Ovis aries: one gene and its partner. The protein of the gene in region 2 interacts with the protein of the main gene of each other region in a pairwise test. Links are inferred from orthologs where the notes say so. Each region holds a gene or a part of one and is shown on either strand. Other genes may lie near its edges.

Region 1 (4,288 bases), on a different chromosome or scaffold from region 2:
ATTTTGAGCAGAAAGGAAGAGAGGCTGAGGGTGCTTAAGTCAGAGCAGGTCTTGTTTAGAGAGAGGAGGAGGAAAGCCAGGGTGGATGTTAGGAGTAAGTCTGAGTGTTATAATGAAGCGGCAATGAGGAGAGAAAAGACTGTGGAGAAGGGTGACATGCCTGCATTTCCAGGCTTTCAATTAAACCTCAAGGTTTAAAAAGAAAGTAAACAATTACTTCCCTTCGTTTGCTACCATGATGTTAATTCAAATCACTGCCTGTGATTGTAATATCATTTGGGGCAGAAAATGTTCCTTTAATATTTGACTTTCTCCAACTACCATGGGAGTCGACGATAGAAACACAAATAGAAGAAAACCCACAAAAGGAAGGCAGCCCTTATACCAAAGAGAGATACTGAATATTTAGCTTTGACATATGCATATGCATTTTGTTAACGAGTCTTTCTACAGTGCTTGTCCCTTGTTTAGTATATATAAATGGCATATAGATCATTGGTATGAAGTGATAAATCTGAAAGTAGGGCCACTTCCTTTTCCTCTCTTTGGTAGGCAAACCTCTTCTGCAAATAGCTGACAAACTCCTGAATAGTCATCATTTTATAAATCATTTGAAATGGATTCTTTAAAACACCATCTGTTGATCTGTTTAAGTTTCCTATGAAAACAGGACGTCAGCTCAGATATTCTGGAGGTTCCAGCAGGTAAATACCAACCCGAATTCAGCCATATTAAATATTCAGAGAAGCACAGAACTTTAGAGCAGAAGGGAACTGTTGAGATCACCTTGGTCTCCTGTCTTACTTTCCATCTGAGGCAAGTAGAACCCAGAAGGGTTCTGTGACTTGCCCCAAGTAGCACAGCCGTGAAAACCCAAGTCTGGGCTGGAACCAGGAGATTCTAACTCTCAGGCTAGCACTCTTCCACCACCCCTGCTCTTTTCTCTCTCCCTCTTTCTAAACCTTAGGGGTTGGAATAAGATATACATTTAACTATAGTTTTAACCTATTTATATTATTCACCAGCTACATCTACAATCAAAACAAAACATACGTCTACAGATTCAGCTTTAGATATACAGGCAATTTCAAACCCTGCCCGGGAAATTTTAAAGCCTTCCAAGTATGTTTAACAAAGTGTTTTAAAGACTTAGCAATAAAGTGAACTCAGTAATAGAGCATGGAGTGAAAGGCTGAACTTTGTATTAAGAAAACATTTTGGAGTTTCATTGATATGGAAATCGAAATTAACAGCAGTGATTTTTTTTTTTTCTTTTTTTAAGTCTTGCAAGCACGGAGAGCATGAGATTATTCAAAACTGCTCTGGAGCAGCAAAGATTATTTTAAGCTCATGATTCAACCAGCACATTAATTAAAAACTCTACCAACCCAAATCGACAGATCCTGATATCAATGGGACAAGAAGAATTAAAATAATAGTTGTCACATAAAAATAGATTAAAAGAGGGAACAGCGGCGGATGTCAGAAGGGCAATGACAAGCAAGCGTTGTGGGAAACTAGATGCAGCTAATGGGCAGCTTTTATGGATTTTTTTTTTTTAAAAAACGAAGATCCTAGAAATACACGTACAGACAAGAAATGCTTCTTTGAATCTTGTTTCTGGAAGCTAAGTGATAAAACTTGGCTAATAATTCCTTGCCGAGGAGTAGCTATGCAAGCAGGGAGAGGAGACCACAACCGCGGAAAGAGACAAAACAGAGCTAGGTGATCGGAAGGGGCCAAAGCAGTGGAGGGAACAGGGCACTGAGAAACGTGAGGTGAGGGGGCACAGCCTGTTACTCCACCGGCCAGCACCAACTTAACAACAGACGCCTATGGCCAGTAGTGCCTTTCCTTTCCCTGCGTCTGCCCTCGGCTCTGCAGCCGGCTCCCACGACCCCTCGGGGTGACTGACTTGATCCCCACAAGGTCGGCATTAATTTCTATTCTTCCACTTATTCCTCCGAGCAAACGAGAGCTCTCTCGGCTGTCAACGCCCGACAGTCTCGAGCGGGAAGCTTTTTCTTTGACATCTGTCAAATCCGGTGCTAAAGCCAGCCTCGCTGCGCCCTCCGCGGGTCTCCAGGACTCCAGGGCGGCCGGCGGGCCCACACCTGGGCATCGGGTGACATTCCGCCTGTCGTGGAGCACCTGCTCGCAGACCCACGGGGATCCTCCCCGGACTGCCCAGGACCCAGACGGCGCAGGCCGGACCGAAGTTCGCATGAGGGAGTCGGCCGCATCCCCGGGCCGGGAATACCAGGTGCAGCCCCAGCACCCGTGAAAGGGTCAAAGGGGTAAGGGGTGGCTCTGACTCCCCAAGCCCGGCGGAGACGCCCTCCCCGCCCCCACCCAGCCCTGCAGGCTCCCGAAAGGAAAGTAGAGGGAAGAGGGAGGAAGGGCAGAAGCCGCATCTCTAACCCAACGCCCTTGGAGTGCAGCCGTCAAGGATGGTCCCCTCGGGGGTCCCTGAACCTTCCGGGGATACATCCTAGGACTAGCCCTCAGCCGGGTCACTGATCCCAAAGGGTGGAGCTGTCCCTTTAAGAGGCAGCTGGCTGCTCCTGCCACCACCACCACCACCGCCCCCCCAACCCCAACCCGGCCACTTCAGGTAGCTATGCCCGCGGAGGGGAGACGGGTATTTCCGCGGACTCTCTCCCGGTCCCTTTAAGGGTGCCTGCGGCACCTCTGCCCGTTCTAGTCCGCAGCGCCAGCCCCCGCGAGGGAGGATGGGGGCGGACGAGCGCGGCGCCTTTAAGGGGCGCAGCCTCCCCGCGGCCCGGGTGGGGGCAGGGAGCGGGCACGGGCCCTTTAAGGCCGGCAGCGGGCACGTCGGGCAGGGCTCCCCGGCGGCCGGGCTGCGCCCCGGGCGGCGGCGGGGGCTTTGAGCCTGCCAGGGTGCTAACGGCCCCGACGGGGTGCCCGCGGCCGCACCGCTGGCTGCGGCCAGCCCGACACTCACCGTGGCTCGCCGGGAGCGCCCGCGCCCGCGCCCCCACTCGGATCCCGCGGCGGCGGCGGCGGTGAGTCCGGCGCGGGTAAACAGGCACCTCCGTCCCTGACCTACTTTCTGCCTTCCCTAAATGTCGCACCACTAACCTACTTTCCGACCAATCCGCTCCCCGCCGGCCCAGGCCCGGCCCCCCGCCCACCAATCGCTGTGCCCAACCCCCCTTCCCCGCCCACCAATGGAGGAGTCGCGGAGCCCGGATACCTGCCTCTTCCCTCCAGCCAATCCTAGAGCCCGAAGAGAGCCGGTCTCGGCGGCCACCCCCGGCCAATCCGCGCGCGGCTCGGCGGCCTAATAGCCAGTTGTGTGGCAGCAAGAGAGGCCGCTGACCAATGGCGAGGCGGCGAGGGCCGGTTTACCTGCTACTTTCCCGCCACCAATCGCTTGGCGCACAGAAGCACACGCCCCAAGGAGAGGACCAATCGACGCGTTTTCCCTGGATTTCCTCGCCCCTGTCCTCTCTCTTTCCCCTGGTCTCCCGTTAGCCTTGGCCACTGCGGGTCCAGACGCCGCACTCTTTGCAGTCGCTTGAGATGTCCTTCTCTAGGTTCCTGACTTGCTTCTGGGTCACGGCTCTCACTACATCTCCTTTTTTCACTCGGGGCATCCTGACTAAAGCAACATTTCCTCGTTCCCCTACCTCCAACTCCATCTAGGAAAACAGTTTTAGGAACACAGAGTGCCAGACCCTACCCAAAACATCCTGGTTTGCCAACGTCCAAACGAGAGAAGAAATACTTGGTATTTCTAGAAGGTTTTTCAATTCAAGTGTCCTTAAGTTCTTTTCGTTCTTCCTGACCTCCAAGCATCCGATTGGAGCTGTCTTTCCTGTTCAAAAGAGAAAACTCTAGCCTGGAGCCATTCCAGTGCTTTTCCTTTCAGTGGCCGCACTACTGTGTAGCAGACAACTTCCCAGTGGCTCTGTTTCTACCGTAGAAAAGCTGTCCAAGGAGTGAGACGGAAGGAAACAAATAGCTGCAGAAAATAAATGTTTCATAACAAGATACAACTTGAGTACTGAGAGGAGGAAGAATCTTATTTTTGCATCTCAAGCACTTGACAGAGGGCCTTTAACACAAAGAGCTCCCTACCCTTTTAGATGTTAAACTCCCTAAATGAAAGGACCTCGTCTTTTTTGTTATACTCACCCCCTCACCTTTAGCACCTAGCTGGGAGTGAGATAGAGGGATGGGGGCAGTGCCTGATTCCTAGCATGTTTGTTGACTGGATATGGGAACAAATTGATCTAAATCACTTAGCTCAATCTTGTGACCC
Region 2 (3,817 bases):
ACCTTAGGCGTTGTTTAAGCATGACAAGCTCTTCCTGGATTAACTATTCCAAACTGAATAATAATCATCCTTGATTTACCTGATATAGTCTCCATTGGGATCTGTTCTCCTACCAAAACCAACAGGGCAATAGCAGTGAAAAAACTGTTGGAAAAAGGAACTACAAGACAGCCACATCCAACTTCCAGCATTTATGCTCCAATCTGCATCAAGCAGTAATTCTTCAAATACCTTCAGAAGTAACGGTAATCAATTAGTTTGCACACAGATATTTCTCAAAGCAAGCATTTTCCAGGTCTCTGTAGATCAAAAGTCAAGGTAAAGAAAATCTAGCACTGAACTATAAAATTAAACATTCCAAAGTTAGTTTCCTTATCTATGTTCTATCCTATAATGAGTTATTCCAGGGGAAAAAAACATATTAGTACTATACAGATTTCTGAATAGAATTTACCATTGTAAGCTTGGCAGTGTTATTGGAAAGGGGAGGGAAAAAGTTATTCAACTCATTGATTTAAAAGGATAAGTTAGGATATGGGAAGATTTTTTTTTTTTAAACAGGAAGAAAAAGTAGTAAACACTTTCAAGAAAGCAAAAATACTACCAAATAAACCACCAAAAAACAACTTGGAAGTTTGGTACATTGGTCTACATAATGGGAACAATCAAATACAAATGACCTTTAAAATTTAATTAGAATTATGGAATTTAAATTTGGGATTCCTTGATCCAAAAGGGAAACAGAATTAAATTATTTTAATAAATTCATTAAGTGTGTGCTATGTATCTACCTCATGTATGACTTGGTGCTAGGAAACAGAGATATAAAAAAACATAGGATCAGAAATGGTCTTTGGAAAGGGGAAATTTATGATAATAGATAGGAAGGTAAAACATATTTAAGTCCTCTTATATATACCCATAAGATGATGTCACAAAATGTAGTATGCATCACATTACATAAAAAGCTATGGTGTTGAAGTGAGGCAAAATTTTTTATATTTTAAAATTTATAATATAAAGATGGCTATTTCTAAGACTCTTTGATGACTCCTTTATGTGACAGAAATGATCACCTATAAATATACACAAATCTGCTAAGTCCAGAGTATTAAATTTTGGAGTTCCCTTGATGGGTAGGCTGATTTAGCCACTGAAATGACTTCAGGTTAACTGACTTCAGGTTAATGCACTCTGATTATGCCCAAAAGTTGCCTCTATAGTTAAGAAATAAATGCTTTTCTATTGAAAAAAAGAAACAAGACTATAAACGAATCTATATAATAGACAACTTTTAGGAACTGTTTTATATATATATACGTGTGTGTGTATGTGTGTGTGTATGTGTGTGTGTGTATATATATATATATAAAAGGTATAGAGTTCTTCATAATAAAGCCATACTACATTAGTTGGAAGAACATTTACCTTCATTCCTTCTTCCCAACTAATCCACAGGTCACCTCGTGTCAGGAAACAAGCAACTGCATGTCTGGCTAAATGATGAATCCAACCCTCCTGACGAAGCTGTGTCATGATGGCATCAATCCATGGAAAGCCTGTGCGTCCTTCTGCCCATTTTGCTAAAGCCTCAGGATTCTTATCCCATGGAATCTGAACACAAATGGGGTTTCCTTCCATTTTGTCAAAGCGTGGATTATTTGTTGCTGCTGTATAGAAAAATTCACGCCATAATAGTTGCCCATAAAGGGAAAGGGGAGGGGAACTGTTCTTCTTCACCTAAGATTAAAAAGCAAAGAAGTATTATCAGTGATTTTTTTTTGATAAAAAGTATTTTTTAAAAATAAGCTCCAGTTCTAGATAATACCTTTTTGTAGAGATCTGTCAGTTTGAAATAAAAGAGTCGACATGACAAACAACCAAATCGGAGATAAGGACTGAGTCCAGTAGGGCTAGCGAGCAGGGAATTTGCATTCATTCGAGGTCTTTCAAAGTTTGCCACCCAAGCCTGAACAAAACACAGAGAAAATTATGCTGCCTTTCCAATTTTAAAAGACTGTTTGAAATTGAGCTTTTCAAGAACGTTACATAGTCCTTGGGGAATAAAATCTCATTTTTTCAGCCATAAATGACAGATTTTAATAAAAAACAAGATAAAAGTGAGCATTCTTTTGTTTTAGTCATCCTCATGCGGCAAATTCCTAACACAAGGTTGAGAGCACCTTCAACCTGTCTTTCTGACACTGAGATAATGTGAAATAGAAGAACTCTATCCTAGCTTTAAAGTCATCAGATACTTACACAGAAACCATAGAGGGGTGGTACTGATACTAGCTAAAGAGGAAATAATCAGACAGGAGGAAGATGGGTATTTAAATGAAAACAGTTGTTAATCTTCAATTACATTTGTGCTATTTTAATTATTTCTCTTAATCCTCCTTTTTCAACAGCCTATTTTTTTGTTTTTAAAAAAGAGTGAATATTTTTTAAATGACAATTTGACAATATAAACATCATCTGTATTATCATACTTTTCTTTCCAAATGCCTTTCCAAACGTGTAAGTGCTTCAGTTTCTCCACCTGGCCACACTGCAGAGGGTAAGCCATCTGTATCAAAACCTAAAAAAAAAAAAAGGAAATGGAAAAAAAATCTGACAGCATAAAAATGAAATGACTCCCTGGATAGGTCCTCACAGATAGATGATAAATAACATGGTCTCTGTCCTTTGAGACATTTATCTTAAGGTGATAACAGATAGACCATGAATTAATAGCATACGTAAATAATACACAGATTAATCACTTTTTAGTTTAAGACTTTCTTTTTTCTCCTTTCTTTTCCTTTTAGTGCAAAATACATGTCAAATTAGAAGTGGAATTTTTCTGAATGGTTTATTAACTCTTAAGCTCCACATGTATTATTGCTTATACCTACCTAGTTCTTCCAGTGATGGGACTCCATATTTCTCATCATGGTCATCAGATAGAGGAGTTGTGCACTTTTCCATCACTTCTGAAGTAATTGTCTCTACTGGTATTTCTAGTGGTTCCATTTTACTGATGAGAGTCTGGAATCTTTTATAGGTAAGAGGTGGCTGACCACCATTTAGTTCTATGATCCTATTACAAAAATTAGTAAAATACTATTAGTATTTTTAAAAGGACAATATAATTTGATAAACATTTAAAAGTCTAAAATAAGAAAATTAAATGGAGATAGTAAAAATGAAAATAAAAATGAAAAATCACTTCTATTTTCTATTGTACGTTTTTGTTTAATGTCAATATATGTATCTTACGTATATCTTTTATATTTAATTCTGATCACTAATTTCTCAATTAAGTAATACTATAAGGAAAGAGCCTTGTCAATGGTAATCTGAATTAGATACAATTTGGGAATAACCCATTATTCTTTTTCACCATAGCCATTTGCACTTAAGACTTCAAGAATATTAGCTTCTTATAGGACCAAGAAACTTGTTAAAACAATTAACAAATCTAAAAATCAGTTTATAAACATCTGCTAGATGTCAAAAATATACAGCCTGCAAATATCAAAACTTTTATGACAAAGAAAATTAAGCATCTATAAGTGGAAAAAACAAGTGGCTAATAAGCCTAAAGGCAAAAACAAAAAATAATACACATGGAAATGTAAAACTATTTTGCAGCATAGCTCAGAGAACCTTCTAATCATCAATAAAAGCTAAACCAGGCCAATATTGTATCAAGGAGTAATTAGCAAGTTTTATTAATTAGGATTCTATATTACTATAGTGATAATTACTTGGTATTTTCTATTGTGCATGTTTTTTTTAAATGTTAACATATGTATCTTACATATATATTTTA

What was found.
Region 1: the proteins of CRY1 (region 2) and BMAL1 interact in a two-hybrid assay, tested with the Homo sapiens proteins (3 studies listed by BioGRID, with this or other methods). The link is inferred for Ovis aries from reciprocal best matches to the Homo sapiens genes CRY1 and BMAL1.

Annotation. Positions count from the first base shown.
Region 1 is NC_056068.1:39,160,273-39,164,560, forward strand, and holds the start of BMAL1 (basic helix-loop-helix ARNT-like protein 1), read right to left. Parts: upstream 3,076-4,288; 5' UTR 2,966-3,075; intron 1-2,965. UniProt on the Homo sapiens protein: Transcriptional activator which forms a core component of the circadian clock.
Region 2 is NC_056056.1:175,886,768-175,890,584, forward strand, and holds part of CRY1 (cryptochrome-1), read right to left. Parts: intron 3,083-3,817; coding exon 2,898-3,082; intron 2,582-2,897; coding exon 2,493-2,581; intron 1,970-2,492; coding exon 1,829-1,969; intron 1,741-1,828; coding exon 1,429-1,740; intron 232-1,428; coding exon 80-231; intron 1-79.